2 linked regions of the Lytechinus pictus genome follow. The protein of the gene in region 1 interacts with the protein of each later gene in a biochemical or structural test. Links are inferred from orthologs where the notes say so. Each region holds a gene or a part of one and is shown on either strand. Other genes may lie near its edges.

The links.
Region 2: the proteins of flap endonuclease 1-like (region 1) and checkpoint protein HUS1-like form a complex in vitro, tested with the Homo sapiens proteins (2 studies listed by BioGRID). The link is inferred for Lytechinus pictus from reciprocal best matches to the Homo sapiens genes FEN1 and HUS1.

Annotation. Positions count from the first base shown.
Region 1 is NC_087246.1:25,350,728-25,366,836, reverse strand, and holds the start of flap endonuclease 1-like, read right to left. Parts: upstream 6,554-16,109; 5' UTR 6,182-6,553; coding exon 6,100-6,181; intron 4,065-6,099; coding exon 3,962-4,064; intron 3,526-3,961; coding exon 3,466-3,525; intron 2,813-3,465; coding exon 2,596-2,812; intron 1,414-2,595; coding exon 1,277-1,413; intron 565-1,276; coding exon 498-564; intron 1-497. UniProt on the Homo sapiens protein: Structure-specific nuclease with 5'-flap endonuclease and 5'-3' exonuclease activities involved in DNA replication and repair.
Region 2 is NC_087247.1:32,716,349-32,733,218, forward strand, and holds the start of checkpoint protein HUS1-like, read right to left. Parts: upstream 7,922-16,870; 5' UTR 7,778-7,921; intron 7,690-7,777; exon of another isoform or gene 7,562-7,689; intron 1-7,561. UniProt on the Homo sapiens protein: Component of the 9-1-1 cell-cycle checkpoint response complex that plays a major role in DNA repair. The 9-1-1 complex is recruited to DNA lesion upon damage by the RAD17-replication factor C (RFC) clamp loader complex.

The sequences.
Region 1 (16,109 bases):
TTTGGCGATTTTTTGAAACGCTCGATAAATGCTCATGGGGAAGGACGTCCACTAGCGTTGAGTAAGTAAACCATCGCTCATCGGCACGCAGCTGTGTATAAAACATATGATGGAAATGAGAGAGGGGACTTTGGAGAGGGCTCAAGGGTGGCACATGGGAATAATTCCACCTTTTGAAATACCCAAAACCCTCTGAACATATATTCATCTCTAATTCAAGGAAGAAAAATTTGAAGAAAAAAAATCTTAAAATGTGAAAATCGTCTATTCCTTCAACCCTTCACCATTTCTCTCTAATGTTTTGTACACAACCATCTCGCAATAAGCAAAGGTATAAAAAGGTTGTTACTTGCTCAACGCTGTAGAGCGCTCTTCCCAAGCGTTTCATTGTGCGGTCTATGTACTGTCTTATCTTCCCCTTGTAGTATCTTTGATTAAATCTAAGTTCAGAATACAGGCCAATGAGTCTACTGAAGTCATTTTAATATCCATCTTACCTGTTGTCTGTCCATGCCGAGACCCTCTAAAACTCTTTGGTAGTTGAACTCTTGAACAGGCAATTTCCTATCAGAAATTAGAAGACAGGATATTCCAGTTTTATAAAAGAATGAAAGCAAGCTATCTTCAAGCTGTCCAGAATATGAATGTAAATATAAATTGAATGAATCTTTCAATATAAGAATCTTTATTTTCATCCCTCCTATTCATCTTTTTTCTTTGCACTTAAAGCCTATCTCAATCTTTGATAAAGGGTAAGTAATGTGAATTATACTCAAGTATCATCAATCATTGCAATATTACAAAAGCAAAGCAGTCAATTAATTCTTTTCCTACCCCATTAGAATTTGCATTTTACAGGCCATTAAGATTCAAATTTAAATCAAGCTTCTTCTTTCTGTGATGTTTTACATTTTTATTCAAAATAGCAGTTGGAACACTTACTTTGCATATTTAGAAATTGAATATTAAAAAGCTACTTAGAGGCATATCCTAAAATTGTTAGCCAATTCTATTCTTGAGGTGTTTTACAAAAATACAGACACATTATTTTGTTCAGGCACCCAATCAATTTAAATTTTAACGTAAAATCTGAAAATTTGCCTAATAAAACATATTTTTAGTTTATATATATATCCTTCACACCACAACCATTTTGGGGCACATGCATTAATATAATCTAGTAATGAAATAAAATAGTGAAAAGCACTTTTTTTTTGGGGGGGGAGGGGATTAACCAAAACTAAAGATCTATAGGCTTTGATCATGGTGCTAGTACCTTGCTTCACTGGCTGTCAGATGTCTGAGTAGAACATTGCCACCAAACGTCAATGCATCCATGTCTTCAGTGCCTACCCCATACACTTTGCCTTTCTTCACGAGTTCACAGCATTGTGCTTCTGCTTCTCCTGGTGCCTGGATGGATTGTGGAATACAATTCGTACAGATAACCCTTTGATTACCAAGTCCTGTAATTCCCAAAGGTTTGGTATAGAGATCATCCAGTTCTAGTAAGCAATGTGTTAACACATTGACTATCGAATTGTGCGATTCCCATAGGTTTCGTTGAGAAACCATCCGGTTCCAGTCCGCAATGAGTTCATGTCAGCCTTGTCCATGCCTGGGCACAGTTTCATAAAGAGCTTCTAAACCATGAGATCATGGCAAATACCACAGTAACAGGGCTCAAAAGCCAATCAAAATCAAGGCTTTCAAGGGGGTTTACCAGTCATAACTATTTACGAAAGGGAACCCTGATACAAGTTATTGATCAAAAAAATTAAAATTTCACCATCCTCAAATAAATTTGAAATTGAAATAACATTATATTCTTGATTTATTTAACTGAATTCATTAACTATTAATATGAAACACTCTAACCAGCACCTAAAACAAGAGAAACTACTACACTGTAAATAAAAACATTTGAACAGTTCTAATTTTCATTTTGAAACCCATTAGTTTTTAGAAACCGATGAAGCATCTTTGGCTCTATGAGCCAACCATAACAAGGGAGACTTCTAGTACTAGGCTGATAAAAATGACAATCTGTAACAGTCCTTACATATTGGAACTTTTTAGTTATAAAAAGTGATGTTAAAAGCATCTTGGGGTGGTGATACAAATACACTGAAAGTGAACTGAAGTCGGTTTCGGAGGTGGCTCGACTTATGTATACCATCTCCCTTTTTTTGATTGCCGGGCTGACACCGGCTCGGACTGAATAAAGACCGAGTCCACCTTTGTATGTGGTTTGAAGGAACCTTCACGCTGATTTAGTCCTGCAATTGGTGTGTGTTTCACCCCCAAGTGAACTCAGGCCGGCTTGACCACTAAACTAGAAATAGCGAGCAAAAGTCATCGCTAACGAACAATAGAAAATGTTGATATGAAAAGAAAGGCGACTTGGAGCCGGCTTTATGTGCATAAGGGGAATGATGATGTCGAGGTGGCTTGAGTCCACTTTGCACGTATGTGCATCACCATCCAAATTGCAGACGTGAAGGGGGCTTCAAAGCCGGGGTCGGAGGCGGCCTCAAACCAGATGCATATGTATCGGCTGCATGTGTATCGGGTCTTTTGACTCTGTGAACTAACCTTAACAAAAGGGATACCCATGAGCTTGAGGAGGTGCTGACACTCCTCATTGTGTTGCTTGGTAACCTTCACCAATCGTTTTTCAAATTTATTGACATTCTCCTGGTCTCCTTGCTCCTTGGCCTTCTCCAGCTCCTTCTCAGCCTCTGCTCTCATCTCCCTCCTCTTTGTCAGTTCTCCAGATTTCATTTCGGGAGGCTTCCCATCGAACACATAGCTGAAGGGTAAGAAATAATACTACTACTACTATTCTACTTTACAATAGCACTGGAGCAATGTCTCGAAGTGCTTTTATTACCCAGGCCATTGGATTATTGCTTGCCTGCACAATCTCCGCTCTCTGTGGAGTATTCCAGCAATGAGTAGGCCTACTGGGTCAAAGGTGGAAATAAACGGTACAGTTCCATGGTAGTTCAATTTCTGTATTATATCAGGACATTCTCAGGGGAATCCTGCCCAGACATTACAATGTTTAAAGAAACTTGAAAGATCAGAGAAGCTGATAGGAGAAATTTGAAATATTGGACAAGAGAGGAGGGTTTATTTATTTCTGAGAATTTTACAAATTTACAATCACTACACCTTACAGGGATTTGAAATCAAACCATTTATCAACATTCCATCCCCTTTAAACCTTGAACAGTATAGGTTCCTATTGGACATAGTAGACCCTAATGATCCGAATCGGATCTTAAAGACTATTTTCATTCCTTATATTATAAAGCATTAAGCAGCAGATTTTGGTTTATCATTTGAATGAACAATTAAGTATCTGGCTCTGGAGATTAATGGTAAATTGACTACCACTTTGAGCAAATTAATCATCTAAGAATAGAGAAGGATGGTTCTATGTGGGTGAATCATTCTTACCAAGGTTTCAGTCCATTCTCAATCATCCTGATAGTACGATAAAACATTCCCATAAGGTGGCTGCGAATAAAAATGAAAAAAAAATGTGGGTAAAGGTATATAATAAATATTAGTAGGATGTGGAAGAATTTATAAGTAATCTGTATGCCTTCCAGTTGGTTCTTCTAGATTAACTTTCCACCAATGTCAGTGATGGGATATAGGAGTGGTTTTCATTGTACTCCTTCCCCTGTAACACTTTCATGGTAGACATAAGTCTCCAGTGAAACTTTCGTAGTATGAGATGTGGGTACCCAACCTGGTAAGTATAAAATACTTGTCATCAATTAAGGGGGGGATGGCAAATATAAATTCTCTTTGACTTACTTTTTTTATATCGGTGAACTTAATCAGTTGTGTAATATAATATTGAAGTTAATTTATTATATAATTTTGAGTGTGCATAAAAAGATCTACATGAACTTTGAACAAGAGTGAACGAGGGATCAAATATTACCTTGTAGTTTCACCTTCTTCATTTGTAAGTACAGACCCATCCTGACGTACAGCAATCAAGAATTGGTAAATGCACATAGAAGCATCAATGGCAACTTTACGGCCTGAGGGAAAAATAATATGAAATTAATATCAGGATTGTTTCGCTATTTGCATTCATTTATCAGATCTTTATAGGAAACTCATGAATATGCATCTTGAGCCGCGATCCCCGAGCATGTGCAATTCGCGTTTAGTAGAGGTGCTGGTCCAAAATTTGGAATTGTCTCAGAAAACAAGGATATCCTTAACCAAGACAAATCATGTCTTGATAAATTAGGATTGTCCTTGTTCATGGGGACAGTGTTTTTTCACTTTCCCCTGCGGGACATAGACGGCAATTACGGGGATTGAGATTGCTAAAAATAGATTCAGTGAAACCTGATATGTTGACTAACACATGACAGGTGAATGAACTTTCTTAGATTTGTGTGGAGAAATCTTTGAAAACTAAGACAGTCCCTGAAAACTGGTAAAGACAACATGACATGTGTTTATAAGTTCAGCAAAAAATTAATAAAGAAATAAAATGTTACTAAACACGCAAAATCATTTATTTATTTTTATCAAATTTTTTTCTTTGCTTCCTTGTGAACGTTGGAGAGATATTATAAAAACTGTTTAACATTTAAACGAATGGGAATATAATAATAACAACTAGGTATAAAAATATAATTACAAAAAATACTAGGCCGATATATTTGGATAATATTGGTGATGTCTTTTATAAATTCTACTAAGTAAAGTGTGTGCTAGCTGAATGTATCCTCAAATCAACCTCAAGTTGAACTGGTTATTTTCTCTATATGATGCGGATTATTTCAATTGTGTTTGCTGATCATTCTCATTTTCATGGTTATTTTCCCTATATGATGCAGATTATTTCAATTGTGTTTGCTGATCATTCTCATTTTCATGGTTATTTTCCCTATATGATGCGGATTATTTCAATTGTGTTTGCTGATCATTCTCATTTTCATGGTAATTTTCCCTATATGATGCGGATTATTTCAATTGTGTTTGCTGACCATTCTCATTTTCATGGTTATTTTCCCTATATGATGCAGATTATTTCAATTGTGTTTGCTGATCATTCTCATTTTCATGGTTATTTTCCCTATATGATGCAGATTATTTCAATCTTCCGATCGCGGAAGAATGGTCCTAGGACGTTCCTACGTATTGTTTTCTCGTCATGAAATAGGCCAGGCCCCTTGTTTTCAGGGACAATCCCAATTTTTGGACCAGCGCCTCTACTGATGATGGATTGATGATGATGATTAAAGTTAATTTCAGGATGACATGACATTGAGACACTGATTGATGAATGATTGACTGATGATTGACAATGATTGACTTTAACTTAGGTTCCTCCCCTGGACCGCGCCAATTCTTCAGACGTCACCGTTTATCACCAGGAGCTGGACATAGAGGAACAGAAGATCCTGCATCCAGAACTGAACCTTATATGACTTTATACATTGCAAAAATGTGGAAATGCATGTTTGTACATATCATTTGTTCGGGATAATTTCATTTTCATAACTAACATAATATAATTATTAAAAAAAAGGAGCAAACCAAGTGAATTCAATTTAACATCCACATTAATTGTTTAAAGATTACATTTGAAAAGAATTATTGATGATAATATAAGCTAAGCAATAGGTATGATTTCTTTCAAAAATCGAAATGAGTGGAAAAAATATTGAAATTCGCCTTATTAATTATGCACTAATTTGCATTTACATGGAATAATTGAAAAAACGTAGGTCTAACGTTAATTAGTCTTATCTTGAGTCTAGTCTACCTAGAGAAGAACACAAGCATGATAAGGCATAAGCAGAAGTACAAACATATCATCATATGTATTACTTTTGATTTAAAACTGAAAATCATGTGACATTGCTACTTATGTAACCTTCTGTCTGTATGTAAGATCAAAAGAAAATTCTAAATCTAAGTTTCAAGTAAGTTACTTAGACCTAGTCTTACTCTAATAGTAAAAATACTATAGTTTCAAATTCAAGTACAAAGTACAAAAACACAGTGCTACTAAACTAAAGTAAATTTAATAAGATCTTATTCTTCTTGTCTTACCAAAATAACTTTTAAATTCATGTTCTTTCACTGCTCCTGGAGCACAGTCAGCAATTAGTCTTGAAAGATTTAGAATTCCCATCTTAATTAGACGTCTTAATGTATTTTAAATTAGCCCTTCGATGTGATTTAATTCGTAAACAATGTACAGAACTGCAGAGTCAAGAAATGACAAGAGAAAACAGCATCACTGGCATTCAGTGGCTGGCATATGTCATCAAGGCGCGCGCGAAAGTTCGCGGGTATTTGCACATGGTGATTACTCCACTGAGTGCTTCCTGTCATTCATTTTGAAACAAACTTAGCCTATGTCAAGTGAGCCAACAATAAGCCAGCCAACAGCAAGCCAGCCAACAGTTCCAGCCAACAATATTGCGATATAAGATAGATCAGATACAGGATTTTGCGCACGAAGAGAAGCGTGCATTCTTGTACAAATCAAACAAACGGGATCAGGGCTACACGGGCCTAATCACTAGTGGCAGGCCATAGATATTCATTCGAGCCAACCCATTGCTATTTTTTTTAATTTTGATATGGCTGATTGACAAAGTGTATGCGTATGATTTTCCATCTAACACTGATTCTATTTTTGGTAATTACTGAACTTCTTTTTCCCAAATTGAGGAGTAAATTTCAACTAACAGTCCTCTTTATAAAATACAATTGGAAGATTGCTCCTGAAATATATTTTGGGTGTGTAGGGGGGTTTCCCTTCTTTCAATTTGTAAAGAAAAACAACGGGCTAGTGCTTTAGTTTTAGTAGCCCACACCCCTATATACTCTATGTGTTTTCGTATATTGAGGAGTAAATTTCAACTAAAAGTCCTCTTTATAAAATACAATTGGAAGATTGCTCCTGAAATATATTTTGGGTGTGTGTAGGGGGGTTTCCCTTCTTTCAATTTGTAAAGAAAAACAACGGGCTAGTGCTTTAATTTTAGTAGCCCACACCCCTATATACTCTATGTTTTCTCGTATATTCAGGAGTAAATTTCAACTAACAGTCCTCTTTATAAAATACAATTGGAAGATTGCTCCTGAAATATATTTTGGGTGTGTAGGGGGGTTTCCCTTCTTTCAATTTGTAAAGAAAAACAACGGGCTAGTGCTTTAGTTTTAGTAGCCCACACCCCTATATACTCTATGTGTTTTCGTATATTGAGGAGTAAATTTCAACTAAAAGTCCTCTTTATAAAATACAATTGGAAGATTGCTCCTGAAATATATTTTGGGTGTGTGTAGGGGGGTTTCCCTTCTTTCAATTTGTAAAGAAAAACAACGGGCTAGTGCTTTAATTTTAGTAGCCCACACCCCTATATACTCTATGTTTTCTCGTATATTCAGGAGTAAATTTCAACTAACAGTCCTCTTTATAAAATACAATTGGAAGATTGCTCCTGAAATATATTTTGGGTGTGTGTAGGGGGGTTTCCCTTCTTTCAATTTGTAAAGAAAAACAACGGGCTAGTGCTTTAATTTTAGTAGCCCACACCCCTATATACTCTATGTGTTTTCGTATATTGAGGAGTAAATTTCAACTAACAGTCCTCTTTATAAAATACAATTGGAAGATTGCTCCTGAAATATATTTTGGGTGTGTAGGGGGGTTTCCCTTCTTTCAATTTGTAAAGAAAAACAACGGGCTAGTGCTTTAGTTTTAGTAGCCCACACCCCTATATACTCTATGTGTTTTCGTATATTGAGGAGTAAATTTCAACTAAAAGTCCTCTTTATAAAATACAATTGGAAGATTGCTCCTGAAATATATTTTGGGTGTGTGTAGGGGGGTTTCCCTTCTTTCAATTTGTAAAGAAAAACAACGGGCTAGTGCTTTAGTTTTAGTAGCCCACACCCCTATATACTCTATGTGTTTTCGTATATTGAGGAGTAAATTTCAACTAAAAGTCCTCTTTATAAAATACAATTGGAAGATTGCTCCTGAAATATATTTTGGGTGTGTGTAGGGGGGTTTCCCTTCTTTCAATTTGTAAAGAAAAACAACGGGCTAGTGCTTTAATTTTAGTAGCCCACACCCCTATATACTCTATGTTTTCTCGTATATTCAGGAGTAAATTTCAACTAACAGTCCTCTTTATAAAATACAATTGGAAGATTGCTCCTGAAATATATTTTGGGTGTGTGTAGGGGGGTTTCCCTTCTTTCAATTTGTAAAGAAAAACAACGGGCTAGTGCTTTAATTTTAGTAGCCCACACCCCTATATACTCTATGTTTTCTCGTATATTCAGGAGTAAATTTCAACTAACAGTCCTCTTTATAAAATACAATTGGAAGATTGCTCCTGAAATATATTTTGGGTGTGTGTAGGGGGGTTTCCCTTCTTTCAATTTGTAAAGAAAAACAACGGGCTAGTGCTTTAATTTTAGTAGCCCACACCCCTATATACTCTATGTGTTTTCGTATATTGAGGAGTAAATTTCAACTAAAAGTCCTCTTTATAAAATACAATTGGAAGATTGCTCCTGAAATATATTTTGGGTGTGTGTAGGGGGGTTTCCCTTCTTTCAATTTGTAAAGAAAAACAACGGGCTAGTGCTTTAATTTTAGTAGCCCACACCCCTATATACTCTATGTTTTCTCGTATATTCAGGAGTAAATTTCAACTAACAGTCCTCTTTATAAAATACAATTGGAAGATTGCTCCTGAAATATATTTTGGGTGTGTAGGGGGGTTTCCCTTCTTTCAATTTGTAAAGAAAAACAACGGGCTAGTGCTTTAGTTTTAGTAGCCGACACCCCTATATACTCTATGTGTTTTCGTATATTGAGGAGTAAATTTCAACTAAAAGTCCTCTTTATAAAATACAATTGGAAGATTGCTCCTGAAATATATTTTGGGTGTGTGTAGGGGGGTTTCCCTTCTTTCAATTTGTAAAGAAAAACAACGGGCTAGTGCTTTAATTTTAGTAGCCCACACCCCTATATACTCTATGTTTTCTCGTATATTCAGGAGTAAATTTCAACTAACAGTCCTCTTTATAAAATACAATTGGAAGATTGCTCCTGAAATATATTTTGGGTGTGTAGGGGGGTTTCCCTTCTTTCAATTTGTAAAGAAAAACAACGGGCTAGTGCTTTAGTTTTAGTAGCCCACACCCCTATATACTCTATGTGTTTTCGTATATTGAGGAGTAAATTTCAACTAAAAGTCCTCTTTATAAAATACAATTGGAAGATTGCTCCTGAAATATATTTTGGGTGTGTGTAGGGGGGTTTCCCTTCTTTCAATTTGTAAAGAAAAACAACGGGCTAGTGCTTTAATTTTAGTAGCCCACACCCCTATATACTCTATGTTTTCTCGTATATTCAGGAGTAAATTTCAACTAACAGTCCTCTTTATAAAATACAATTGGAAGATTGCTCCTGAAATATATTTTGGGTGTGTGTAGGGGGGTTTCCCTTCTTTCAATTTGTAAAGAAAAACAACGGGCTAGTGCTTTAATTTTAGTAGCCCACACCCCTATATACTCTATGTGTTTTCGTATATTGAGGAGTAAATTTCAACTAACAGTCCTCTTTATAAAATACAATTGGAAGATTGCTCCTGAAATATATTTTGGGTGTGTAGGGGGGTTTCCCTTCTTTCAATTTGTAAAGAAAAACAACGGGCTAGTGCTTTAGTTTTAGTAGCCCACACCCCTATATACTCTATGTGTTTTCGTATATTGAGGAGTAAATTTCAACTAAAAGTCCTCTTTATAAAATACAATTGGAAGATTGCTCCTGAAATATATTTTGGGTGTGTGTAGGGGGGTTTCCCTTCTTTCAATTTGTAAAGAAAAACAACGGGCTAGTGCTTTAATTTTAGTAGCCCACACCCCTATATACTCTATGTGTTTTCGTATATTGAGGAGTAAATTTCAACTAACAGTCCTCTTTATAAAATACAATTGGAAGATTGCTCCTGAAATATATTTTGGGTGTGTGTAGGGGGGTTTCCCTTCTTTCAATTTGTAAAGAAAAACAACGGGCTAGTGCTTTAGTTTTAGTAGCCCACACCCCTATATACTCTATGTGTTTTCGTATATTGAGGAGTAAATTTCAACTAAAAGTCCTCTTTATAAAATACAATTGAAAGATTGCTCCTGAAATATATTTTGGGTGTGTGTAGGGGGGTTTCCCTTCTTTCAATTTGTAAAGAAAAACAACGGGCTAGTGCTTTAATTTTAGTAGCCCACACCCCTATATACTCTATGTTTTCTCGTATATTCAGGAGTAAATTTCAACTAACAGTCCTCTTTATAAAATACAATTGGAAGATTGCTCCTGAAATATATTTTAGGTGTGTGTAGGGGGGTTTCCCTTCTTTCAATTTGTAAAGAAAAACAACGGGCTAGTGCTTTAATTTTAGTAGCCCACACCCCTATATACTCTATGTGTTTTCGTATATTGAGGAGTAAATTTCAACTAACAGTCCTCTTTATAAAATACAATTGGAAGATTGCTCCTGAAATATATTTTGGGTGTGTGTAGGGGGGTTTCCCTTCTTTCAATTTGTAAAGAAAAACAACGGGCTAGTGCTTTAGTTTTAGTAGCCCACACCCCTATATACTCTATGTGTTTTCGTATATTGAGGAGTAAATTTCAACTAAAAGTCCTCTTTATAAAATACAATTGGAAGATTGCTCCTGAAATATATTTTGGGTGTGTGTAGGGGGGTTTCCCTTCTTTCAATTTGTAAAGAAAAACAACGGGCTAGTGCTTTAGTTTTAGTAGCCCACACCCCTATATACTCTATGTGTTTTCGTATATTGAGGAGTAAATTTCAACTAAAAGTCCTCTTTATAAAATACAATTGGAAGATTGCTCCTGAAATATATTTTGGGTGTGTGTAGGGGGGTTTCCCTTCTTTCAATTTGTAAAGAAAAACAACGGGCTAGTGCTTTAATTTTAGTAGCCCACACCCCTATATACTCTATGTTTTCTCGTATATTCAGGAGTAAATTTCAACTAACAGTCCTCTTTATAAAATACAATTGGAAGATTGCTCCTGAAATATATTTTGGGTGTGTGTAGGGGGGTTACCCTTCTTTCAATTTGTAAAGAAAAACAACGGGCTAGTGCTTTAATTTTAGTAGCCCACACCCCTATATACTCTATGTGTTTTCGTATATTGAGGAGTAAATTTCAACTAAAAGTCCTCTTTATAAAATACAATTGGAAGATTGTTTCTTTCGTATATTGAAGAGTAATCTAGAATGAATTTTCTTTCTGATAAAGATTGATTGGAAGATTGCTCCTAAATCAAATTTCGGGTGTGTGAAGGGGAGTTTCCCTTCTTTCAATTTGTAAACAAAAACAAATGGTTAGTGCTTTACTTTTATTAGCCCATTACAGACGTTTAGCGAAAAATGTCAAGGGGGTGGGGGCTTATTAAGCTCCCCCCCCTCCTCCTCGGGCTAGATAGGGTTAAGGGGGCTACAGCCTTCTCCCCCATTAACCCCACTTTGTTTTGTTTTGAAGCAAGATAATACGCGAAAAAGAGCATTGTGAAACAGAAATATATTTCGCACTGTATAGGCTTTTTAAGTGGTGTATAATGCAAATTAATTTTCAATACCCAAGAAATTTTCTCGCTTGGTCACTTGTTTCTATAGCTGTTATTCTGACTCTCTTTTGTTATCAACACTGGCGTACAGATGGAGAGGGGGAGGGCTTTTGTGGGCTGGAGCCCTCATAAATTCCAACCATTTTTTTTTTCAATTCCCTCGAAGTTGTATATAAAAAAATATGAATATATATATATATATATGTATATATGTCCGTGTGAGGGTGTGTCAGTGTGATGGTGTGTGTTTGTGTGTGTGTGTGTACGCGCACTTGCCACTTGTTAATATAAACGTATTGAAGGAATTAGGGAACTCGCTTCACATACCCGAAATTTCTTTATGGATCAATCTTCCCAGGAGGGTGGGATCACTATTTTTTTTTTTACTTTAGGACTAGCCCCTTGTTTGTAACCCTAGATTGCAAATATGTGAAACCCCCTACAAACAACTGAAAGCTCTACCAGGAGCAATCTTTCTATTTGCTTTCAACAGGCAATCTTTTTCCATTATATCATTCTCAATATTTTTAAAACATCGAGTATATTATAGGAGTGCGGGCAACTAAAAAAATCAGCCCTAGCCCTTCTTAGTATCCAAAAATTGAAATGAGGTTTAATAAACTTCCTACAAACAACCGAATGGTCTTCTAGGAGCTATATTTCCGTTTGCTATCAGGAGGTTTTTTAATTTTACTTAATCCCCAATTACTGTCAACAGTAAAATAAGGACAAAAAAGGATATAAATAATATATAGGAGTGTGGGCTACTGAAATGTAGGCACTAACCCCCCCCCCCCCCTTTATAAACGAATTGACAGAAGGGAAACTCCCCTCCACAAACACCCGAAATTTCTTTCAGGGGCAATCTTCACTTTTGCTTTTCAGTCAAGAATACTTTCATTTTTATTCACCCCTCAATAGTAAAAAAGAAATACTTTTTAAAAGGGCGCAAATAATAAGAGAGGGCCAGTGAACCTTATCTAAGGACAAGCCCCTTCATTCTATCAATACAGTGCTTATCAATAAAAACTGGACAGTTTTGAAAAGTCTATCAAAAATTAATTTAAAATTATGATGTCTATATTTTGATGTTTATAGATGCTCTGAAACCTTATATTTTAAATGCAATTTTAAGAAATGAATTTTGTTCATGCTTGAACGAACACGAGATTTGTCAAGGGTTCAAAAATAGGTTTGTGCAGAAATGAGAGGAAACAAAATATATGGTCATTAGACTTCCTGCTAAGCAGTAAACTTCCTCTTAACATTTTCATTATCTTTGCCATTGTTTTTAAAATTATGTTTCAAAATTCACTCACAAACTTATTTAGTTACTTAAAAAAAAAAGTTATTTTTTAGGATTGCATATTTAATAATTAATAAAAGTCAACCCAAGAAATGCTTAATTGCATTTTTTTTGGCCTCAATTAGAGGATTTTATTTACAACAAAAAAAACATAACACATTATGAAAATGAGCATACATGACATTACAGGAAATTTCAGAAATCAAAACAAAAATTTACATAATAATGTAATTGTGCAATAATCTTACGTAATCTTTAACATAAATTAAAAAAAACATTAAATGGAAACATGAAATTCACAGTGTTTCAAATATATTCCATAATTTCTTTGGGTAGATGAACATATCTTTTCCTATACCGAGGTTTCATTTCTATTCTTCTTTCTATTTCTCTTAAAAATATGAATTTCAGATCCAGTTTAATTTGACCAGTAAAATTATTACTGGTCCAGCAAAAATTGTACTGGTCCAGTTTAATTTGACCAGTAAACTTATTACTGGTCCAGCAAAAATTGTACTGGCCCAGTTTAATTTGACCAGTAAAATTATTACTGGTCCAGCAAAAATTGTACTGGTCCAGTTTAATTTGACCAGTAAAATTATTACTGGTCCAGCAAAAATTGTACTGGTCCAGTATAATTTGACCAGTAAAATTATTACTGGTCCACCACAATTTGTACTGGTCCAGTTTAATTGGACCAGTAAAATTATTACTGGTCCAGCAAAAATTGTACTGGTCCAGTATAATTTGACCAGTAAAATTACTGGTCCACCACAATTTGTACTGGTCCAGTTCAATTGGACCAGTAAAATTATTACTGGTCCAGTTAGTTTGACCAGTATATTTGTTACTGGTCCAGTTAAAATTATACTGGTCCAGTTAAATTTGACCATCAAAAAATTACTGGTCCAGCTTATAGCAGACCAGTATATTTTGTTCCAATTTTCAGAGTTACCAATTAAATTTTACTGGAGTAACTGGTCCAGCCGTACTGGTTTTTCCTTCTGGGATTGCCTCTCTTTTCGTTTCCACTCATGTTTCTTAAAACGATGACTTTGTGAATGCACCAAAGTGCGATAGTCAGAAGTAAAACTAATTTTTTGTCTACTTCATGTTTAAACAAAATTTTAATGATTGATTTCTAAATATTTATGAAATATTTGCTGGATTATTTTTTTCAAAAATTCAAAGAATGGTTTGTTCAAATCACAAGAAATGAAAGCGTGATGAATATCTTCCTCTACTTCACAACGAGAACAGATGTTATCATTCACCAAACCCCTAATTGTTAATTGTTAGTTGTTAATAGGGTGAATTTGCTGTACTTTATTCAAATCATTATAATTGTGTGTTAGATAGGATATTAAATTATCAATTCTAACAGAAAAGGATTTATCTGCTTGTTGCATAAAATAAAATGATTTGAATTGATTACAAGCTCTCAAATTCCTAATTACAAATTGGGTCATTCTTGGTTGACAAAAAATGTTAGTATGAAAGAATATTCATTGCTAAAAAAATAATTTATTGAAATGAAAAAGTAAAGTAAATATACAGCTTTGTACGTGACATTTGCGACCAAAATATGAAAACTATGGCAAAAATAATCTGCTGATTGGCAAGAAGTCTTATAACCATACACTTCATTTCCTACCACTTAGCGCAATCCTATATTTGAACCCCCAACAAAACCATCTCGTGTGCACTCAAGCATGAACAAATTAAAAAAAAAACATTTTGAATTTGATCGATAAGATTTCAGAGTATCTATGAACATCAAAATATAGACATCATATTTCAAAAGGGTATTTTGATAGACGTTTCATATTCTGTCCCGTTTTTATTGATACGCACTGTAAAATTGAATAAAAAGGGTCACCCCTTCAAAAATATGATAGCTCTCTTCATTTGTCAGGAACTTTTTTTTTACATACTCCTCAATATTCTTAAAACTGGAGTATATAGGAGTGTGGGCTACTAAAACTAAAGTACTAGCCCTTTCTTTTTGTTTACAAATTGAGAGATATTAACCCCCCCCCCCCTCCACAAACCCAAAATATATTTAGGGAGCAATCTTCCAATTGTATTTTATAAAGAGGACTTTTAGTTCAAATTTACTCCTCAATATATATAAAAACGTGGAATATATAGGAATATATGAGTGTGGGCTACAAAAATTAAGGCACTAGCCCGTTGTTTTTCTTTACAAATTGAAAGAAGGGAAACCCCCCTCCACACACCCAAAATATATTTCAGGAGCAATCTTACAATTGTATTTTATAAAGAGGACTTTTAGTTCAAATTTATTCCTCAATATATATAAAAACGTGGAATATATAGGAATGTATATGAGTGTGGGCTACTAAAACGAAGGCACTAGCCCCTTGTTTTTCTTTACAAATTGAAAGAAGGGAAACCCCCCTCCACACACCAAAAATATATTTCAGGAGCAATCTTCCAATTGTATTTTATAAAGAGGACTTTTAGTTGATATTTACTCCTCAATATATATAAAAACGTGGAACATATAGGAATGTATATGAGTGTGGGCTACTAAAACGAAGGCACTAGCCCCTTGTTTTTCTTTACAAATTGAAAGAAGGGAAACCCCCCTCCACACACCAAAAATATATTTCAGGAGCAATCTTCCAATTGTATTTTATAAAGAGGACTTTTAGTTCAAATTTACTCCTCAATATACGAAAAAACCTAGAGTATATAGGGGTGTGGGCTACTAAAACTAAAGCACTAGCCCGTTTTTTTTTTTACAAATTGAAAGAAGGGAAACCCCCCTACACACACCCAAAATATATTTCAGGAGCAATCTTCCAATTGTATTTTATAAAGAGGACTTTTTGTTGATATTTACTCCTCAATATATATAAAAACGTGGAACATATAGGAATGTATATGAGTGTGGGCTACTAAAACGAAGGCACTAGCCCCTTGTTTTTCTTTACAAATTGAAAGAAGGGAAACCCCCCTCCACACACCAAAAATATATTTCAGGAGCAATCTTCCAATTGTATTTTATAAAGAGGACTTTTAGTTCAAATTTACTCCTCAATATACGAAAAAACCTAGAGTATATAGGGGTGTGGGCTACTAAAACTAAAGCACTAGCCCGTTTTTTT
Region 2 (16,870 bases), on another chromosome or scaffold:
GAGTAAGTTGATGTCAAAATATATTCAGTCTGGGGCATGAAGACTTGGAACTCTGCCCCATATCATTGTACTTGCCTCGCTCGATTTGTATCATAAAAAAAATTTAAAAATGTTTCCACATTAAAATATAGATCCAAGTACAATGGCCAAAAATAATAGTACGAATAAGCTAGCAGAATTTGTATCATACCACCCATATTATTGAACGCCAACGAAGGCAGTTTCTAAATCCTGTTTGCTTTATCCCACTTTTCCACTAAGATTTATCCCTTTTGCGTGTCATATGAAAGCAGTTTTGTGCGCAGATCTAGCGTACCGGTAGGACCACATGCAGTCATTAATAGCTCTCTTTAATTTTTTTTCAACAAATGATGTCTCATGCTTTCGTTAAAATTAATAAATTAGAATCCTTGTATATGGCCCTGGGAAGTGGGGTGCTCGGGTTGTGACCCCCAAGTTTTTTTTGTTTTTTTTTAGCTGGTGGTGCGTTTTTTGTACACGTATATAGTTTAAAACAGGAAGAAGAATGACATTGATTTTTGTACCGCATTATTTTCATTAATTTATTGGTAGAAATACAAAAAAAAAAGTTTTGAAAAAACATTTTTCAAAACTATTCCGCGGCTCCTGGAAGAATGGAGAGATGGACGGAAGGAGAGAAATAAATAGGATGAAGGGGTGGATCCAGCTTTCGCCAAAGGGGGGGGGGGGCAAATTTTTTTTCACCATTATTTTTCCCCAATCGGCCTTCTTTGAAGAAATGTCACTTCTTAGCTTTTGTCTTATAAATCAACATAAATATATAATATCATAACCCTTTTTATATAGTGCGAGCTAATTTATTAAAAAAAATATGTTTTTTCCCCAAAGTTTGAAATTTCTGGGCAATGTTTATCATGAAAAAGATGTGTATGCAACTAAATAATTACTAAGAACGCGAAGTGCGAACAGAATTGAAATCATAGGCACTTTGCAATTAGCAATTGATGCGAAGCGCGAGCACAAAATTGGAAGATTTAGACCTAAAAACGAGACATGTCTAGTCATGTCTTTTAAATCATCATGGAAAGGATGTCAAATTGCCGATCTTTGTTACTTTAATAATGCTCGCGCAAATTAGCGCGAGCATAAGATTTTTGTATACGTTTTGAACTGATCAAAAAGGTACCTGTTAAGGAGTGCTTATTTCACTTAGCCATGGAGACGTTACATATTTCAACAATAAAATAATGCAAGCGCGAGCCGATTTTTTTTTTTACACTTCTACATAAAGAATGGACAATTTTAATCAATTATTGTGACCATGAACAGGATCGTCGTTATAAAACAATTAATGCGAGCGCGAAGCGCGAGCGGAAAAAATTGACATTTAGACCTAAAAAATGGGACACTCTATTCCTGTTTTGTATAATAAGGATGAGTAATAGGGGTTCTTCCTACATAAAAAATGCGAGCACAAAGCGCTAGCAGAATTTTGTTTTTCAGAAACTGGATAATGGTTGAAATACTAACAAGTTGAGTATCTAGATAGACATGCGCTCGCGTGTTTCCGATTTAGGCCTACAATCTAGGCATTCTGAATATATATTTTAACATGAAATTGAAAATCAAAGCGAGCGCGAAGCGCGACCTTAAAATATTTGACATTCTGATCTGAAAAAGGGGTCAATTTCAGCTCAAGTACTTTGTGAGGTGGATTTGGATCGCACTTAATAAAGAGCTGATAGATTTGACAAAGGACCGGGACATGAAAGTGATGAATATCTTCCTATTCCTCTTGCTAAGAGCTAGATGAAACAGAAAGGACAATTTAGCCATTAAAATTAATATCTAATCTATAAATGCCTAATGAGGCGCGAAATCTGATGATAACATGGTATGAAAACTGGAAATTTCAAGCACTTTTGTAATTATGAATATGATGTATCAGGTAATATTTTTAACCGTTTATGCGAGCGCAAGTCGCGAGCCAAAATTTTTATAAGGCCAAGTCACAAGGATTACCCTCCTTTTAACTGCCATTATCAATATGTTACTACATTATAACCATGTATTTACTCTACATATGCATTAAATTCTGTGAATCCCATAATCTTGAACCATTAATGCTTCTTTCTTTGACCCATGCTATTTCTGCCCATATATCTCTTGAGGTTTTTTTTTTTCTCTCTCAAGGTGTGTATGGCACATTGAGGAGTATAGAAGCATGTTGGAGATATTGAAAGGGGTAGAATAATTGAATGAAATTCACGAATGGGAGAGATGCCGAGGGGGGGGGGGCAAAGATGTTGAGACAGAAAGGGGGTTTGAGAGAAAAGAGGGGAATTAACTATAAAGGAACAGCAGTCAGGAGAGGGAAAGAGAGAGGGGGGAGGAAATCGAAGGAAGATATGCATACGATAAAAGAGTCCTCGTAGAAAAAGTGAGAGAGAGGGGGGATATGGAACTGAGAGATCATAATGAGATAAGAAAGAAGTAGTAGTGCATGGGCGGATCTATCGCCAATAGGGGGGGGGGTGCCAATTCGTCTGCGGCCAACTTGTCCACTCATTACATGGTCTACTTTCATTTAGTCTAATGCCAATCTGTCCATCAACATTTCGTCTAACAGCCATTGGTCCATTAACCATTTGGTCCAATCATCACTTCGTCTAATAACCATCTCGTCTATGACCATTTAGTCTCATAACCGGTTGGTCTAATACCCATTTTATTTTCATTCATTTTGCACAATAATACACTTATAGTCCAATTAGATGAAATGGTATATGGACCAAATGGCTTTTGGGTCCACTGGTCATTAGACGGAATGGCATTAGACTAAATGAAAAAAAAAGACTATGTGGTGAGTTGACGAACTGATGGACCAAACGATAGTAGACGAGTTGGCAATTAGACAAATTGGAAATAAACCGGGGAAGGGGCCGAAAAATATTTGCACCCGTATTTTCCACAATCAGCCGCTCAAAGTTAATAGGGGTAGTCCAAACAGTCACTTCTTTATTCTCATTAAACAGCATACACAAAACACAATATACAATAATCTCATAGCCCCTATAGTGCAAGTGCGAAGCGCGAGCTAAAATATTTTTGAAATTTCATGTTTTTTATCCTCAAAATTGAACATTCTGGGCAATGTTTGTGAAATGGAACAAGATGCGTATTTTACTAAAATTGCTGCGAGCGCGAAGGAGCAAAAAAAAAAAGTAAGTAAGAAAAGAGAGAAATATACGTTCTGGCCTGATCGAAAAGGGACTTGCTAATGGCGGTTTACAGTTAGCCAAGAAGACGATGCATATTTCAATCAAAATAATGCGAGCGCAAAGCTCGAGCTAAAATGTTTGAAATTCTGACCATAAAAATAGACATTCCAAGCACTTTGTGTATGAACAGAACACAGTGGGAGCACGAAGCGTGAGCGGATAACAATTGAGATATATAGACCTAAAAAGGAACACTATTTTATATTTATGTTTTCTAAATCGTGAAAAGGGTGGGTAATTGGTTACCGTCTTACATTATTTTATAATGCAAGAGCGAGAAGAAATTTTTTTATATTCTAATCTGAAGCGAGATAATTTAAGCATGCTGTTTTCAATAAAGGATAAGCAGCCCGTCTCAATAAACATGCGTGTTCTAGAATTTGTGCATTCTTAATACACTTTTTATCACGGAAAATCAATAATGCGAGCGCGAAGCGCGAACTGATAATATTGGATATTCCGATGTGAAAAGGTCAAATTAAGCACTGCACTGTGCAGGAAAATAATCGTAAAGTGGACATGGATTGCTCTTAAAAAATGAGGCGAATGCAAAGCATGAGCTGAAGTTATTCTGGCCTAGGACCGGGACATTCTAAGGACATTTTTTCATCATAATTATGAATGTCTTCCGATTCCTCTTCCCAAGCGCAAAAAGAAACATGTCGATCTTCCATTTTGAAAAAGTGACAACTTAATTACGGTATTAGGAATTAATGAAATGTTATTAATATCTTATTTACTAATCTAATAAGCCTAATGAGAGCTCTAAATTTGTTGATATTAAAGTGTTAACCCTGGACATTATAAGCACTTTTGTAATTATGAATATGATGCATTAATTACCGGTAACGTACTTTTAGAAATTAATGCGAACGGCAATTGCGAGCAAATTTTTAATTTAATAAACTTATTATTAACTCAAAAAACTGTCATGAAAAGGCGATTTTAAGTACTTTGATTTATATATATTTTAGGTATACATAACTCACCAATTTAAGCACGTGCGTGCAATGCTAGCTGATAAGATTTGACAATCAGACCTTAAAAATTTATATTTTGATAAATTTATGGAATAGGGCCTACATGAAGAGGATAGGTACTCCACAAATGAAATAATGCTAGGGCACAGCGTGAGCTAAAAATGTTGATACTCAGATCATAAAACGAATATTTTACAAAGCACTTTTTTATTGATTCGTTATACCTCGGTCACACTTTTTCTACGGCGAGTAGAAAACAGTCGTTTAAACATTTTTTGTGCCAGCTAAATATAGGTGGTTTGAATAAAAATGAATAAAACGGCTGTTTCGACTCTCCGTACGGCCGCCGCAGAGCAAATGTGACCGAGGTATAAATAAAAAAGAATAATGAAAGTTCAATGTCCTAGCTGACCGTACAGTATATGTTTTGTATTTTGACTGCAAAGCTTAAATGTCAAGCTCATATATATCAGCCTATTGAGCAATAATTATGTACTCATCGAAAATGAGCAATGCGAGTGCGAAGCGCGAGCGAAAATTTCAATTTTGCATGTTCTTTTAAATCATCAAAGTCTCCCCTCCCTAATTTTATTCACTTTTCTCCCTCCCTTTTCCCCTCTTCCTTTTCCACTCTCTTTTCCTTCTGTTTCTTCTTCCTTTCTCCATTTTTTGGTCTTTAATCCGCCAACAGGGGGGGGGGGTGACCGCCCCCTGGATCCTTCTATGGTAGCGATGGTGAAAGCATTTGAATTATTCACCTCACAGTGTTAAACGGGGAAAATAGGAAATGGCTAAATTTTGAAAATCATTAATGTGGAGCCCTATTCAAGTTTAGTTTCATCTATATACACTTTGACAGGGGCTGATCCAGGATTTTCCAAAGTGGGGGCATTCAAGACCTAGTATGCTAGGAAAAAATCATTCCATACACAAAATTCCTTGGAAAAGTTGAAAAATAAGTCCTCACTTGAGAATGAACGACAAAATCCACTAACAAATATTTGATATATTACGGGAGGGGGACCTTTATTTGTCTCCCCTTTCCTTATTCCTCATCCATTCCATAGGCAGATCCAGGTGCCGGACCCAATTATGGGCGGCGGCAACCCCTCCTACTGGCTGGCGGTGCGAATTTTTTTTTTTTTTTACGGCGCAGATCGGGGAGAAAAATTGTAGTCCCCCCCCCCCCCATTAGCAAAATTTTGATCTACACCGGGTATTTGTCTGTCGTACCTTCCAGTAAATGAAACAACAAAATAAAAAAAATCACCGTTGCACTAGTATTAAAATTTTTGCGAGTCTTTATTTTTCAAATATTTTTGTTTATAATGGTATTCATTAATTATAATTATAGTGGAGGTTCGCATCCCGAGAATGTGAAATGAAAAAAAGAAAACAAAAATTGCACTGAACAGGAAACACTAAACGTCCTTTTCAATTCCAATTTACTTAAAGTCATTCAAATAAAAAAAATTAGCATAATTTTTTGATACCTTAACTTGTTCATCACGAATACAATGAAGCCGACAATTATTTAGGTTTGTTTTGGATTAATCTTTATAATAATTCACTTCAAATAAAATTCATACATTAACAGGAAAATATCACAGAAAATAATTTTAAAAAATTAATTGCAGTTGTATAAAACATCATAGAAAATAACATGACAGATAAATTTAATCTCGACAGGCACACTGTTCATTCGATCATAAAACAATCGCGCTGTTTCACTCCTTGTACACGCACAACTCTATCAGTGTTGTTTCATCTTCATCTGTCCTCAATGGCAAGGACACCAGCATGATTCATTCACTTCAAATAAAATTCATACATACATATACAGGAAATATCAAAGAAAAAATTATATAACAAATCAATTGCAGTTGCATAAAACACGATAGAAAATAACATGACATATGAATTTTATCTCGACAGGCACACTGTTACATTCGATCATGAAACGATCGCGCTGTTTCACTCATTGTACACGCGCAACTCTATCTGAATTGTTTCATCTGTCCTCAATGCGGCAAACACCAGCAGTGCAGTGACGATAATAAGTTGCAGTTGCACGTGCGCGGAGAATGAATTAAATTCGGCGGCTGAGTAAAGTCTAGCGAGAAAGGTACGTCACCAGCGAACTTCACGATAGACCACGCCTACTTGCCGAGGTAACCAACGTTGATTGACGGCCCATTTAGTTTTTTGAGTAGTATGAAAAAGTACAGGCATGTATAAACTTCATTTTAGTTTGAATTCATTAAAAAAACACATTTTTCTTCTAATATAGATGTTTCAAACATATTCCATGTGGAAAACATAATTTTTAAAACATTTATTGCTATATTTTTATCATGAAAAAAGGATTTCTTACGCAACAACAAATATGATATGTGTGGGCAAGAGAACTACCGTTTTAGCCATAAAGCATATTTTTTATGATTTTATTGTGAGCCTACTCAAGGATTTTTGTTTATTTTTTATGAATTTCCAGACCAAGTTCAACAGCGCCGTCTCGAGCTTGCAATAACGCATGCGATCGCACGCATTTTTCTCCATAGCGAATACACGCGACGAAACTCTGTGGATTTCTCGTGGATTTAACCTCCAAACGTCACTTTCGATACCACATGAAGGTAAGACACTTCATCCCACATAAGTAAATTTAAATATAAAAAACACAGGGCCTAATTTTTTTCACTAAGATGAACTAATTTGCTGAGGAAAAGCATTTCAATGCTCATTTTTGCCGTCGAGAACAGACGATGGTGGCAATGCACACTGTTTACGCACTTGCAATTGACTTTTCATTTGCCCATAGCAATTTTGCTCAGTGGATCGGCAGACCTTTTGGTAACTCTACTTGAAGTTGACGCTTGAGCTTGCCAATACTATATACTACAAACTCAAAAGAAGGAATAATTAAAAACAGTTATATTATAAGCTAGGCCCTAATTATGCAGACAAAGTGTAGAACATCAAGATTTCTGAATAATAGTAGAAGGAAATTATTAAATATCAAACTTGAAAGTAAGCAAAAATCTGTAATCTGCAATGCACAAGCATGGGGCACCACTCATACTGTGATTAATGATTTTATACACGTGTTATTCGAATACATTTATCACGGAAACGTGTTACCACCCGTTCTTATGGCACGGTACCGTAGACCTACACAGTAATGTATCAGCAATAACATAATGCCATCCTCCCAAGTTTGTATCAACTTGTTAATTCAAGGATTTCCATCAAATATGAAAATACTAAAATCAACGGCATTATTTAACTTAATCGTAATTGAATTCAAATGGTACCTACAAGACAAAAATATATAATTACCGTACCGATTCAACTACAAACAAAATCAACGTCAAACAAACCGCGAAGAAGTAAAATCTCGCGCCATCTTGTGACATCCTTCGACCTAGCCTAACGTTGTCGTCGTTAGGCCTACGTTACGTTGAAATGGTATAAAACCGACAGTAAATAATCTTCATTTATCAAATTGGCTCTCCATCAAATTACTATACTCACTACACAATATTTGGCAAAATGAGTCATATCTTTAGTCAGGAGTCGGCAAAAAAAAAAAAATTAACTATACAACTGTTGTCGAATAATATATCACATGCGACATCCTCGCACGGCTGTCAGACCCTGTGGCCTAATGGATAAGGTGTCAGCCTCCGGAGCTGAAGATTGTGGGTTCGAGTCCCATCAGGGTCGAAAAATCATGCCTCATTTTTATCGATAATCAATTAATCGAGATAACTCATGTGACAAAGAAAATGTATTTCTAATCACTGTTATTACCTTTATCATGGTTTTAAATATATTGAATGATCGTTGGTATGTAGGTACAACAGTAGTAGATTAAATCTGAAATTTCAGCAGTTCTCTGACAAGTTGTCACCTGAAATTAATGACAGATTTCTTTGTTTTTTATCGGCTGTGAAGCACACTCGTTTTACTGTTACTATGGTAACTGTGGAATAAAACAGACTGATAAAACATTCGATTAAAGGCCAAGTCCACCCCAACAAAAAGTTGATTTGAATAAAAAGAGCATAACACTGAAAATGTCATCAAAATCGAGTGTAAAATGCACAACTCAGTGATATGCAAATGAGGTGATCGATGTCCCCCACTCACTATTTCTTTTGTTTTTTTTAATGTTTGATTTATACAATAATATTTAAGTTTTACAGCTAGATTTGACAATAATTATTGACTCTTTTGTTTAAACCTCAAAATGTTAAAACAATGATAACTACACATGTTCACGAGGAATAAAACTTCGTACCATATGGTAATGAGGAGGAAATTATAATATTTCATATTTCATGTAATGAAAATACAAAAGAAATAGTGAGTTGATGATGTCATCTGTCTCCTCACTTGCACACCGAACATGATATGAAAATAACTATTTTGTGAGATTAAGCGAAACTTTAAGATATGTCATAAATGTCTTATTTTACATCCGATCGATTTTGTTGAAATTTTCAGTGTTAGGCTTATGCTTGTTTGATTTTTCTCTTTTTATTCAAACCAACTTCATGATAGGGTGAACTTGTCCTTTAAACTCAACCCTGATTTTTTTAAAGGGTGGTTTTGAAAGACTGGTCAATGGTCAATCGCGGGGTCAAACGTATTTAGGGTATGTTTTTTTTTTCCAAAGCTTTTTTTTAAGATAACCAAACGTGTTTATAGGGTATGTTTTTACCCAAGCTTTTTCCTCTTCGTTTCTGAAAAGTGTTCGGGCGCGAGACAAATCTTGTTTAGGTCAAATCTTACCTACCCTCTTTTATCTTGTGCAATGTCAGATCGGCCTGCAATAAGTTTGATGAGTTATCGGCCGTTATCTCATATTTTAATGCAGACATTGCCGCCATTACTGAGACTTGGTTTAGAGATGACTGTCCATGCATCTAATAGTTTCTCCATCCCGGGCTATTGTTTAGGAGCTAAATCAAGATGTGATCGACGAGGTGGTGGAGTAGCGATATATGTGAGAGAGTATTTGAATCATTCTTTAGTCAACATCCAAGTTCCCGACGACCTTGAAGTGACTTGGATGAAGATACGTCCTCCCCGTCTTCCGAGATATATCTCTTGTATTTACTGTGCTGTTGTATACTATCCAAAACCTGATGCAGAACTCGAAAGTGAACTAAATCGTCATTTAGTGAATACTATAGATATTATCCTAACGAATCACATGGATGCAGGAATTGTGGTATTGGGCGATTTTATTCAAATGAACATTGATCCAGTAATTATAACTCATCCTTTTCGACAAGTTGTGGATTGTCCTACCAGAGGAGTTCATATCCTAGACAAGATTTTTACTAATATTCATCAGTATTATCATAAACCAGAAATATGTTCCCCTATTGGAATGTCAGATCATAATTTGGTAAGTTTTAGACCCATCCGAAACCATAGCCATATTATCAAATACTACTCGTTGTGTATTTAATAGACAAATGGCTGACAGTGCAACGGTAGCGTTTGGACGATGGATATCCAATTATGACTGGCCAGAATTAAAGGACCATCTCGATGTAAACGTTTTATGTAATTCTTTTCACTTAACGTTAAATTCTGCAATAAACACATATTGTCCTATTCGTAAGGTGGTTCTTCATGTTAGGGATAAACCCTGGATGACAGGAGAAATCAAATCCCTGATTCACAAGAGACAGATTGCATTTCATCTAGGGAAAGAAAATATTCGGAAGCACTTGAGAAAAAAAAAATTCACTTATAAAGAAATCAAAATTAAATTTCTACTCATCGAGGATCCAGAGACTTAAAAAAAGTAATCCTTCACGATGGTATCAAGAAATAAAGATCCTTACAAAAGGAAACCAAGCATCACTAAACATCCGGGATGAAGGTATTGATCCTAGTGATACAGTGAAAATAGCAAATGCTATAAATGAACATCTCATATCTGTCTCTTCTGACTTAGAGCCGCTTAATATGGCTTGTCTCCCTGCATACCTACAATCAAGAAGACTTCCTGATGTAACCCCATGGCAAGTTAACAAGGCCCTTTTAAAAATCAAAGGTTCAAAGGCTAATGGCCCTGACGGTATTTCAGCGCGCTTGATTCGCCTTTTTTCTGTAGAACTCTCTGATCCTTTAACGTGTATAATCAATGCTTCTTTTAGGCAGGCTAAAGTTCCGGACTCCTGGAAACGGGCCATCGTGGTGCCGATTCCGAAAGTTAATCCTCCAAGTATTGACAAACTCAGACCTATATCTCTGACAGATCACTTTGCTAAGGTTATAGAATGTTTTATAGCAGAATGGATGTATCAAGATATTTCTAAACACATTGATCTTTGTCAGTTTGGAAACCAAAAACATTTATCAACCTCACATTGTTTTATTAATATTCTTCACCATATTTTCTTAAATGCAGAAACACCAAAAACAATATCAACTGTTCTTCTCACCGATTTCAAAAAGGCATTTGACAGAATAGATCACACAGTTGCCATTAAAAAAATAATCGAAATTGGTGTGCGCCCATCGATAGTTCTTTGGATTTCAGATTTTCTGTCTGAGCGTAAACAATGTGTACGTTATCAAGGTGATCTTTCAGATTGGTGCCAGATCAAGGCAGGTGTGCCCCAGGGTTCAACAATTGGTCCCTTAATTTTTCTTATGATGATAAATGATTTCAAAACTAATGAATGTATGCATACGTTTAAATATGTTGACGATTTAACTCTGGTCGAATGTCGTAAATCAAACCAACCTTCAAACATGCAAGAAGCAGTAACATGTCTGCATAATTGGGCTGAATCCAATAAAATGCAATTGAATCCTACAAAGTGTATCAAATGGACATCTGTTTCTCTAGAAATCCAGTTAACCACTATCCACTTAACCTTGATAATTGTGTACTTGCCAGTGTGACCCAAGTAAAATTACTTGGCGTTACAATACAGAACGATTTAAAGTGGGAAGCACATATTTCTGACATTGAAAAGAGAGCAAACGCAAAACCCGCACTTTAGCAAAATACGGTCTTTCTCACGAGGATTTAGTTGCAATTTTCATTGGCTATATTCGACCAATACTGGAATATGCTGCTCCAGTTTGGAGCGGATGTCTCACAATTGCCCAAAGACAACGCTTAGAAAGAATTAAAAAACGCGCCTTAAGAATTATTCTTAGAAATGATTATGATTGTTACACTACTGCTCTTACTCTGTCAAAATTACAACAAATAGAAAAACGTCGAAATGATCGAAATGATCGAGTGTCGCCTTCTTCAAAAAAACTTTATTATTTACAGTTCAGTTTGAACAGTTCATTCCCCAACGATTTCAAACATAAAACCTACGTAAAACAAGAAAGATATACGAACCCAGATGTAAAACAAATCGCTTAGAGACATTCTTTGTGATAAGCGCTATATAAATGATGTTAATTATTATTATTATTAAGCGTATGTGGAACAGCCCAATCCCTGATCTGATCCGTTTGTACAATGAATACCCTTGAATGATTATGCTTTTGGTATTGTATATAACTGTTAGGATTATTTGTCATATCATATTCATTGCCGTAACTTGCCCTTTCTTTTTTATGTATTTGCTATGTGTCCTTGTCAGGGTCAATCTTACCCTCCCTGATGGTTTTTCTTTTTCTTCTTTTCCTACCTAATTTCTCTAACCCTGTACTCTTTCCTTGCCTTCTTCTTTCCAGAAATCTTTCTTGATCCTGACAACACAGTTATATATGAATGTGATTTTAATAGTTTTAATTGTATCATAAGATTAATGGTATACAGTATACTGTATTTTATCTACTTACACACTTGAACATTGTATTGTAAAATGTATTCAATGAAATGTATACTTGTATTTTTAGCTTTGTAATTCACATGTAATTCAGTTTGTTAACTGCAATATGTGGAGAATTTTAATAAATACCATTTATCTATCTAGCTATCTATTTATCATATTCTGTCGACAACCTGTTCTGGGGCCAAAATGTGTAAATGAAGCCCGCGAAAAACTTGTTTAGGAGGTTATTTTGCACACAGAGAAAAAATCATTTAGGGGGTGTTTGGAAACAATTTGGTCACGAATGTGTACAGCAATACATTTGACTGCCCCCCCCCGGGACTTTTCCATTGTATTCATTGGCAGGTTTTAATTTCATTTCACTATATATTTGGCAGGGCTTGAACACTTGAAAAAAACTAGAGGCTTGGCTAATTTGTAACTCTTTAGTCTTCCCTATATATACCCAGGCGCAGATCGGGGGGGGGGGGGGGGTTGATTGCTTACCCCTTAAAAATTGCAACCCTAAAATAAAAGAATCAAAATGGATTTAGGCCTATTTTCGAGTGACGACCTTTATTTCTTTCTTTCTTTTGCTTGTAAAATAATTCTGGAGATAAAACACCCTTAATTCATTTAGCAATGCTTTTGTATTTTTGAAATACAAATTAATGCAACGAATCTCAGGTATGACTCAAACTGGATTTCATAAGCAATATAGACCTACAGTAACAGAGATGTGCTTATATAGACTAAAAAACAACTAAGGCGGCGTCTGGGGGCTTGAGAAATTTTAAACGTTGATTTATTCAATACAATTGAAATGGCCTATTATGGGCAGCATAATAAGTGGGAGACTATACTGATCTGACCAAACAGGGAGCTTAGCGACCGAGGAAACAAGGTCACATATTTAAAATGCTTGAAAAAAAATTTCCATAACAATTCCATCTGCATGTAACACCTATTAGGCCCCAAGTGATATGTGGATGAGGGCATGCGATTTCACTTCAAGATAAAATGGGACAAAAAAAAAAGAAGGAGCTTGCGTTGTTACTCTTTCCAGGCGTTTAGTGAGTCAAGTGAACTGAACGATCTGAACATCTGGGTGGCACTTTTAAGCTTCCATAAAGAACTCCTACTTTCAAGAGCTTTATTTTCAAATACAGAGACCTTTGAACGAAATATTTCCGGTTATTATAACCGGTTAAGGAAGGTTTATTGGTAATTCTAACCGGTAAAATCGGTATTAGGTTGATTTAATTGGTTTTACGGTTATTTTTACCGTTTTTAAAATGAATCTGACTGTTCATATTATTTTTCTAGTTAATTTAACCGGCTTAAAACAGTTTTTAAATGGTTTTTAAAGTATTCCCGGTTAGTTCTACCGGTTAAGGATGATTAACCAGTAATTTTAACTTGTTAAATCCGATTTAGGGTGTTTTAAATTGTTTTCCGGTTATGTTAACCGGTTTAATAGAGTTTTTAAATGTTTTTAAAGCAATTCCAGATGTCTTAACCAGTTAAGGAAGGTTTATCGGTAAGTCTAATCGGTAAAATCGGGATTAGGTTGTTTAAATGGTTTTACGGTTATTTTTACCGTTAAAAAATGAATCTAACTGTTCATATTACTTTTCTTGTTAATTCAACCGGTTTAAAAGAGTTAAGGAAGATTTACCGGTAATTCTTACCGGTAAAATAGAATTAAGGTTGTTTATAATGGTTTTCTGGTTATGTTAAAACAGTTTTTTAAATGGTTTTTAAAGTATTTCCGGTTAGTTCTACAAGTTTAGGATGGTTTACCGGTAATTATAACTTGTTAAATAGGTTTTAGGTTGTTTTTAACTGTTTTCCGGTTATTTAAGCCGGTTTTAAACAGTTTTTAAATGGTTTTGAAAGTATTTCCGGTTATTTTAACCGGTAATATAGAATTAAGGTTGTTTATAATGGTTTTCTGGTAATTTTTACCGTATTTAAAGCGATTCTAACTGTTCATATTACTTTTCTGGTTATTTTAACCGGCTTAAATTTATTTTTGATGGTTTTAAGTGGTTTTTAAAGTACTGGTATTCCATTTTGTTTTTTGTCATTTAATTTCTTCTATTTTTATTTGGGCTATACCATGTTAGTTGGGTTATTCTATTTTGTTACTTAATTATTAGTTAACTTCTTTTTCATTTGGGCTATTCCATATTCGTTAGGATATTCCATTTTGTTTTTTATTATAAAATACCTTTTTTTATATTCAGGTTATTCCATTTTGTTTTTATGATTGAATTCCTTGTTTTAGTTTAGCTATTCCATTTTGTTTTTTATTATAAAATTCCTTTTTTTTATTTGGGCTATTCCATTTTAGTTGGGTTCTTCCATTTTGTTTTTTATTATCACATTACTTCTATTTTTATTTGGGTTATTCCATTTTGTCACTTAATTAAGTTCTTTTTTATTTGGGCTATTCCATTTTTTTTTTAATTATTAAATTACTTCTACTACCAATATAAAGCATAGCATAGCTCCACGTTGAGCAAGATACTGTAGGTTTCACGAGCGTAAAAAGTTTCCCATAGACTCGTGTGCAAAGTGGCACTTATTAAAAAATATCATTACAAATAAGGATAAAATTCGGAATCCATATCAATCCATATCTGACCAGAAACGGGACCCTCGACCAGCTCACTCTAAAAATAAATTGGCATTTATGATGACATATCTCCAGAGGGATCACATTCATCGTCTGAAACATGAAAATATCCCTAATCCTTCCGCCATTCAAAAATTGTTCAAGAGTTGGCGATATATCTTCTCAGTTTGGGAAAAGAAAGTTGCATCGTCACCCTCCATAGAATTGGTGTTCGATGGACAATCATATTCATACACTTTGTCAATCAGCCACATAAAAATAAAAAAATGAGAATGGGTTGGCTCGAATGAATATCTTTTGCCTTCCAGTTGTAAATAGGCCCATCCGAACACAACCACTCAACTAAATTGGTATACTCTGTTGCATATTGTTTGCTGTCCTCTATATGCCACGGATTTATACCCCACTTCTCATATTTTTTATGCATGTCGACCCCGATCTCAATAAAACTGAGATTGCGATTAAGATCTACTCTTTCTGTACTCAACAAAATAAAATCAAAGTTTAAAAAAAATCACAAAGAACTGCGCAAATCGTGGTAATACATACAAATTAAAAGATATATGAAAAATGGAGCTGAAGTGACTTTTGCTTGTAAGTAGGTCTTATAATATAATCGGGAAAGAACCAGTGGCGTAGCTACGGGGGGGCCTGGGGGGGGCACGTGCCCCCCCTGAGATTTGGTGTGCCCCCCCAGGTGCCCCCCCTGAAAAAAAATGGCAGAGCAAAAAAAAAAGGGAGAAAGAAGAAAAGAAAAAAGGAAAAGAAGAAGAAAGACAGAAGAAAAAAAAGAAGAGGAAATAAGAGGAGGAAGACGAGTGAATGATATAATGTGAGGGGAAGACTTGCAAAAAAAAAATCCTTCATGTTACTTTATAAATTTTTTTCTTGCGCTTCGCGCCAGAATTGCCTGTTCGATGAGATTCATATCTTGCTCAATAGGCTGATATGGAGCAAGTTTTGAAGTCAATATACAAAACATATTTTAGCTCGGACATCGAGCTTTCATTATTTTTTTTCATTTACAAATTTAAGTGCTCTGTAAAATGTCCATTTTATGGTCTACATATCAGCATTTTAAGCTCACGCTGCGTGGTCACATTGTTTGATTTGCCAAGTTCATATTGTCTACGTGTCCCGGCTACGTGTATTCCATAATGTTCCATTAAACAAATGTATTCAGAATGCCCAGATTCTAGGTCTAAATCTAAAACATGCGCGATAGCCTGCATGTTCTTTATTTAAAATGTACTTAAATTATCCAGTTTCACATCAAAATATCAATAATTGTCTGCTCACGCTTCACGATCGCATTATTAATGATACCCAATTAACTATATCCTATTCATGATTTACAAAATATGAATATAGTGTCCCGCTTTTAGGTCTAAAATCTCAATTTTCTTCCTCTCGCACTTCGCGCTCGCATCAATTGTTTAGTTACATAACTATCCCATTTATTAATACAAAAAGTGCTTAGAATGACAATTTTTTTTAGGTCGGAATGTCAAAAAAATTTGCTCGCGCTTCGCGCTCGCATTATTGAAATATATACCATCTTCCTTAACAGGTCCCTTTTCGATAATGCTAGAACAGTTAATAAAAATTTCTGCTAACGCTTGGCGTTCGCAGTAACCATCTAGTTACATACGAATCTTCTTCAGGATCACACATAACATTGCCCAGAATATCACATTTTCAGGACAAAATACATGAAAGTTAAAAAAAATCGCTCGCGCTTCGCGCTCGCACTTTTTATAAGGCTTATGAGATTATTTCATGTTTATGTTGTTTTATAAGAATAAAACTGAGAAGGGACTGATCGGGGAAAATATAGGTGAAGATAATTTCGGGCCCCGTCCCCTATTGGCGAAAGCCGGATCCGCCCTTGTGACACATACACACACCGGAAAAATGGTGCCCCCCCTGAAAAAGCAAGGACCCCCCAGTGCCCCCCCCAGGAAAAAAATCCTAGCTACGCCACTGGAAAGAACGGAGGAGCATGCCAAGGAAAAGCCATGTTTGTACGGGAGGCAACCCCCTGTAACTTAGTTTCCTAGTGTATAGGCAATATGCAACAAATATATAATACAGCGTCACCGTCGTGACATCCCCCCCCAAAAAAAAAAAAAAAAATTAAAGCAAATTATCAAAAGTTACAAGGAATGAGTGACACTA